Xenopus tropicalis: one gene and its partner. The protein of the gene in region 1 interacts with the protein of each later gene in a biochemical or structural test. Links are inferred from orthologs where the notes say so. Each region holds a gene or a part of one and is shown in the gene's direction. Other genes may lie near its edges.

Evidence for each region.
Region 2: the proteins of abl1 (region 1) and erbb4 form a complex in vitro, tested with the Homo sapiens proteins (2 studies listed by BioGRID and IntAct, with this or other methods). The link is inferred for Xenopus tropicalis from reciprocal best matches to the Homo sapiens genes ABL1 and ERBB4.

What each region holds. Positions count from the first base shown.
Region 1 is NC_030684.2:12,809,811-12,813,466, reverse strand, and holds part of abl1 (tyrosine-protein kinase ABL1), read left to right. Parts: intron 1-2,397; coding exon 2,398-2,693; intron 2,694-3,656. UniProt on the Homo sapiens protein: Non-receptor tyrosine-protein kinase that plays a role in many key processes linked to cell growth and survival such as cytoskeleton remodeling in response to extracellular stimuli, cell motility and adhesion, receptor endocytosis, autophagy, DNA damage response and apoptosis.
Region 2 is NC_030685.2:57,168,692-57,172,347, reverse strand, and holds part of erbb4 (receptor tyrosine-protein kinase erbB-4), read left to right. Parts: intron 1-2,077; coding exon 2,078-2,277; intron 2,278-3,656. UniProt on the Homo sapiens protein: Tyrosine-protein kinase that plays an essential role as cell surface receptor for neuregulins and EGF family members and regulates development of the heart, the central nervous system and the mammary gland, gene transcription, cell proliferation, differentiation, migration and apoptosis.

The sequences.
Region 1 (3,656 bases):
CAATCAGATCCTTGGCAGACGGTGCCATAGATTTTACAAGCTGCTAACCACAGCGTAGCCCTAATTTAAGGACAACTGTTGGCTCTTGTTAAGTAACATCCGCAGGATCTCCAGCCCTTGTTAAACCACATCCCCCTTATAAAGAAACTTCTTTCCTGTAGTACTGGGATTTGCAGCTTATCAGCGGCTGGAGGGCCGCTCTTTACTTGCCCTTTACTCAAGCTCCAAGTGCTATTTATAGTTTAGAGATGTCGCACGTTTGTGTGTCTGTATCCAAGCTCAGTGGGCAGCAGGAAGATCAGTAACGGATGTGTATAGATAAATAATCCTGGGCAGGCTGTTCCTAATGGAACCGTTACATGAAATGATGGCAGAACTATGCCAGTGTAGCTGAGAAGCCAAGGCAGATAATCTGTTCTGTCCATGTTTGTTTGTAATACAGTATATAATAGGGTTGGTATCAGGTAGCCACTGCCAGCATCCCTGTGCCAGATTGGAATGGAAGTTTCAGACACTGAGCCATCCTTAGTACTGACAGGTCCAGCTATTCATATAGATAGGGCAGTCCAACCTGTGGCCTCTCAGTAATGGCCACTATCCATTCGGGTTTGTGGGTTTCCTCCCAAACATACAGGCAGATTCATTGGCTCCTGATAAAACAGCCCCTAGTGTTGTGTGTGATAGGGACCTTAGATTGTAAGCTCCTCTGGGGCAGGGGCTGATGGGAATGTGATAGGGACCTTCGACTGTAAGCTTACTGGGGCAGGGACTGAAGGGAATGTGATAGGGACCTTAGATTGTAAGCTCACTGGGGCAGGGGCTGATGGGAATGTGATAGGGACCTTAGATTGTAAGCTCACTGGGGCAGGGACTGATGGGAATGTGATAGGGACCTTAGATTGTAAGCTCACTGGGGCAGGGACTGATGGGAATGTGATAGGGACCTTAGATTGTAAGCTTACTGAGGCAGGGACTGATGGGAATGTGATAGGGACCTTAGATTGTAAGCTCACTGGGGCAGGGACTGATGGGAATGTGATAGGGACCTTAGATTGTAAGCTCACTGGGGCAGGGGCTGATGGGAATGTGATAGGGACCTTCGACTGTAAGCTTACTGGGGCAGGGACTGAAGGGAATGTGATAGGGACCTTAGATTGTAAGCTCATTGGGGCAGGGGCTGATGGGAATGTGATAGGGACCTTAGATTGTAAGCTTACTGAGGCAGGGACTGATGGGAATGTGATAGGGACCTTAGATTGTAAGCTCTACTGGGGCAGGGGCTGATGGGAATGTGATAGGGACCTTAGATTGTAAGCTCTTCTGGGGCAGGGGCTGATGGGAATGTGATAGGGACCTTAGATTGTAAGCTCCACTGGGCAGGGGCTGATGGGAATGTGATAGGGACCTTAGATTGTAAGCTCACTGGGGCAGGGACTGATGGGAATGTGATAGGGACCTTAGATTGTAAGCTATTCTGGGGCAGGGGCTGATGGGAATGTGATAGGGACCTTAGATTGTAAGCTCCACTGGGCAGGGGCTGATGGGAATGTGATAGGGACCTTAGATTGTAAGCTCACTGAGGCAGGGACTGATGGGAATGGGATAGGGGCCTTAGATTGTAAGCTCACTGGGGCAGGGACTGATGGGAATGTGATAGGGACCTTAGATTGTAAGCTCCACTGGGCAGGGGCTGATGGGAATGTGATAGGGACCTTAGATTGTAAGCTCACTGGGGCAGGGACTGATGGGAATGTCATAGGGACCTTAGATTGTAAGCTCTTCTGGGGCAGGGGCTGATGGGAATGTGATAGGGACCTTAGATTGTAAGCTCCACTGGGCAGGGGCTGATGGGAATGTGATAGGGACCTTAGATTGTAAGCTCACTGAGGCAGGGACTGATGGGAATGGGATAGGGGCCTTAGATTGTAAGCTCACTGGGGCAGGGACTGATGGGAATGTGATAGGGACCTTAGATTGTAAGCTCACTGGGGCAGGGACTGATGGGAATGTGATAGGGACCTTAGATTGTAAGCTCACTGGGGCAGGGGCTGATGGGAATGTGATAGGGACCTTAGATTGTAAGCTCACTGGGGCAGGGACTGATGGGAATGGGATAGGGACCTTAGATTGTAAGCTCACTGGGGCAGGGGCTGATGGGAATGTGATAGGGACCTTAGATTGTAAGCTCACTGGGGCAGGGGCTGATGGGAATGTGATAGGGACCTTAGATTGTAAGCTCACTGGGGCAGGGGCTGATGGGAATGTGATAGGGACCTTAGATTGTAAGCTCACTGGGGCAGGGGCTGATGGGAATGATGGATAATCGCTGTAATGCACTGTGCTATAGCGCTATATAAATAGTGACTAATATCCAACATTTTCTCTTCACTTCGATAGGTGAGAAGCTGCGAGTGTTGGGCTACAATCACAATGGCGAGTGGTGTGAGGCCCAAACCAAAAATGGCCAAGGTTGGGTTCCCAGTAACTACATCACACCGGTGAACAGCCCCGAGAAACATTCCTGGTACCATGGGCCGGTGTCTCGCAACGCTGCTGAATATCTGCTCAGTAGTGGGATTAATGGCAGCTTCTTGGTGCGGGAAAGTGAGAGCAGCCCAGGCCAGAGGTCCATATCCTTACGATACGAGGGCAGAGTGTACCACTATAGGATCAATACTGCGTCTGATGGCAAGGTAAGGACTGGATAGGCTTTTGACTGCCCATATATATGAATATAGAAAAGGAATGTTCTGGGCACACAATAAGCTAAACCCACATACTGTACTGTCTAAAGGTGGCCATACACGCACCGATATTATCGTACGAAACCTCGTTTCGTACGATAATCGGTGCGTGTATGGCATGTCAGCGAGCCGACCGATATCGCAGGAAGCTGCTGAAATCGGTCGGCTCGCCGATCGGCCAAGTTAGAAAATTTTGATCGGGCGCCATAGAAGGCGCCTGACCAAAATTCTCCCTTCAGAGCTGAATCGGCAGAAGGAGGTAGAAATCCTATTGTTTCTACCTCCTTACCTGCCGATTCAGCCCTGAATGGTGTGTGGCGGATCTGACGATGTTTCGTGCGACCGACGGTCGTACGAAACATCGTGAGATCGCCACGTGTATGGCCAGCTTAAGGGAAACACTATGGCACCTCCCTCCCATATGTATAAATACAAATATACAGAGAAGGAATGTTCTGGGCACACAATAAGCTGTACCCCCATACTGTACTGTCTAAGGGAAACACTATGGCACCTCCCTCCCATATGTATAAATACAAATATACAGAGAAGGAATGCTCTAGGCACACAATAAGCTGTACCCTCATACTGTACTGTCTAAGGGAAATAATATGGCTCCTCCCTCCCATATGTATAAATACAAATATACAGAGAAGGAATGTTCTGGGCACACAATAAGCTGTACCCTCATACTGTACTGTCTAAGGGAAACACTATGGCACCTCCCTCCCATATGTATAAATACAAATATACAGAGAAGGAATGTTCTGGGCACACAATAAGCTGTACCCCCATACTGTACTGTCTAAGGGAAACACTATGGCACCTCCCTCCCATATGTATAAATACAAATATACAGAGAAGGAATGTTCTGGGCACACAATAAGCTGTACCCTCATACTGTACTGTCTA
Region 2 (3,656 bases), on another chromosome or scaffold:
TAACAAGTAGCAGCATATGGTGCATTAAGACTATGGTGGCCATTGCTTATTTATTTCAGTTATATACTATACTTTGGCTGTTTTTTAAAGGTATCCTTTTCACTATATAAAAGTAGCAGAACACGGAAAAATGTATGTCTGAAAAGAAACGTCATCATTTCCCAAATAAAGGAATTCCTGAGAGCTCTCCATAGCAGTTTGCAAAATACTGGGTTTAAGGATTACAGGTTTTAGCCGTCAGACAAAAGGCAGCAATTATGGTATCAGAGTTTCCAGTCCCCCGCACAGCAGACAGAAGAAAGCTGGTGCCCACAGAGGTTATGGCATACTGTATACCGGTGCTGGGAATAATTATTTGTCTCTATGAGCTGAGGCTGAGATGGAAGGGCAGGGGGCACATTTAATGATGGCCTCAGCTGAGAAGTTATGAAACGTCCATGGCAGTAAACGAAGCAGCAGATTCAATGATACAATTCTATGCTTGTCAGGAGAAGTGACGGCAAAAGCAGTTTTTGACTTAAAGCGCCCGTAGGGCAGCACTCTCTGAAATAGCAGGCAGCCCCTTTAGTAGTTGATGCTTTTCAGGGTAATGGAAGGATGCAAAGTAATCTAAGCTAAAGGAAGGCTGTAAGCATCAACCCTCTCCATTTAAAAACTGAGGTTGAAGCACTGGATCAAACACTTGCCAGGTATCCACTTATCCTCTTATTAGTTACGGCTGCACCCCACAGCTCTTAGTAACCGAAGTTTGAAAATAAAGAAGCAACAACCAGAGGGTAATTATCCTATGTCTGTGAGCCATGTACATGCCAAAAGGTAATTCAGACATAGGAAATCTAAAAAAGCACCATCTAATCTCAGTATTATCTGTGTAATGTTATGTTAACATTGTGGCTAAAGGGAAGGAAAAGGAAAAACTAGAACAGACTGTAAGTTAATTACTTTATTGCTGTTCAGGGTGCCCTGGAGGACCGCAAGGAAGTGACGGAGACAGGACCATAACAGGGCTAGGGGAGCCAGGAAGGTGTTAAATTGCAAGGGGTTGTGGGAAATGTATTTCAAAAGGTGTTTGTCTGGAGGCTGTAGGAAGAGAGTGAAGGGTATAGAACAGGAGGAGTCAGTCACCATTTACTTTTGCAGCTCCCTTAGCTTATCGGGGGGTAATAATAATAGCAGGGAGAGTGTTGGCGTAAGTGGTGGCAGGAGTGGTTTAAGTCTGAGGCTAGCAATTTTGTGTATCAACCACTGTCAAAAGGGCAGGGTTGGCTGTGGCCTTTTCCACCCATAAATAGTGGTGCCTCTTTAAGTGTTTTAGTTTAAAATGGGTGCTGATTGTGGTGGTGGAAAGGGTCCAAGATGCTGCCCATATCATGTGGAATCTACCTGTAAAACTGGACCCTGTAGAGAGGGAAATTTCCTAGTCTGACGCCTTCAGCATAGATAGAGATCCCTGCAAACATTGATGTTCATCTGAGCCCTTTTGCAGCCTGCTAATCTACTGAGATCCAACTCACTACAGGTTACCAGATGGGCAAGACACAGAGATTCAGGAGTCCCAGGGAGTAGAAGTTGTAGTTGGTATGCAGCCAAAAGTCAGAGCCAGTGGCAAACCTCAGAGTCTGTTCTCAAGCCATTCCCACATACAGGCAAGGCTTAATAACAAGACAGAAGGAGAGTCTGTGCAGTGTTGAAAGGGGCTCTAGCATATTCTGTAGAAAAAGATATGCCGGCTTGGGCAAAGACTAGACTACACACACATGTGTGACTGGTGGTGAGCATATCCTGGCATAAATTAACAGGCATACCAGCAGAGATGCACGTTCTATACACCTGAGAGAGTGCCTTACCACGTGTATAATCTCAACAATGCACTTAGTCTCCTGCCAACTAAACAATGCTAAACAATAATTATATAATATGTAGATGTATATGTGAAAGTGCCTGATTTATTAACATTTGATACTTTTGTCCTGTACAAATTAAAAATGTATTTTTGAGTCCTGCTATTGTTCTTATGGCTTAGAGTCCAGCTCTTAGTATCAGGATGCTCTGCAATTCTGCATTTCTCTTTCCACAGTGGAATTTCCCTGCTGATTCTAAAGCAGCAGAGCCTCAACTCCCTACAGTTTCAGTCACTCAAAGAGATCAGTGCTGGGAATGTATATATCACTGATAACCGTAACCTGTGCTATTACCATACCGTCAACTGGACATCTCTCTTCCGGACATCCAACCAGAGAACCACTATCCGAGAGAACAAGAAGCCAGAAAACTGCAGTAAGTTCCATTATTCATTTGTTTGCTCTTCGGAAGCATTGTTTTGGTTGGTGAAAACTTTTTGTAGAAATATGTTTACGAAAAAACTACTTTTATGTCACTGGTGCAATGTTATTATTAGTCCCTGTTTCCTGGTGACAGGCCCTGTTTCAGTGTCTCTTTTTAGTGTCCCCAGCACAGTCCCCCAATTCAGTGTTAAAGCCACAGTTACATTAATTAATCCATATGTGGACATTGGCTGTACATGTTATCAGTAGCAGTTGCTCTGCCCTAGTCATTTGGTACTTGGCACACTTAACCAGGAAAATAGGGTAGCAATTATATTATTTCAGATGCATTCTTTTTTCTACTTACAAAACACTTAGGGGCTAGAGATGTAGCGAACCTCACAAAAAAAGTTAGCGAACCCGTTCGCGAACTTCTGCCAAAAAGTGCGAACTTTTGCGAACTTTGCGAACCCCATAGACTTCAATGGGAAGGCGAACTTTAAAACCTAGAAAAGCCATTTCTGGCCAGAAAACTGATTTTAAAGTTGTTTAAAGGGTGCCACGACCTGGACAGTGGCATGCAGGAGGGGGATTAAGGGCAAAAATGTCTCTGAAAAATACTTTGTTGACACAGCATTGCATTTTGTGCTGTAAAGGACAGAAATCACACTACATTTCTAAACTTGTGTAATAAACTGCTTTTACAAGGACTATTGGGTTATAGCAGATGATCAGCAGGACAGCTGCCCACAGCAGCTACATACAGAGCAGTAGAAAGTAGATTACTAGTCAGCAAAGCTACCTAAACTGTCCCTCAAACCCCTGCACAGCTCTCTCCCTATGCTAACTCATCAAGCACACACAGGCAGAATGTAAAATGGCTGCTGGGCTTCGGTTTATATATGGAAGGGAGTGGTCCGGGGGTGGTCCAGGAGGGAGAGCTGCCTGATTGGCTGCCATGTATCTGCTGGCTCTGGGGTGAGAGGTCAAAATTTGGCTCCAGCTAAGGCGAACCCAAAATTGCGAACTTCGCTAAAAGTTCGCGAACTTGCGAACTTGCGAACACCCGATTTTCGTGCGAATTAGTTCTCCGGCGAACAGTTCGCTACATCTCTATTAGGGGCAGATTTATCAAAATGTGAGTTTAGAACTTAATACATAGAAAATATAAAATACATATAAACTAACTCTAACTTTCACCCATTGAAAAATATGCTTCTTAAATTCCCATTGGAATGAATAGAATGTGGGTGAGTTTTTCACGTATTAAGCTCTCAACTCACATTTTAATAAATCTGCCCCATACATTACTCTAGTGTGGGCTGGTTCAGCTTTGTAGACAAACCTGAGGTTTCTACAGTTTTACAACATTCTGTAACTTCTCTCAGCATG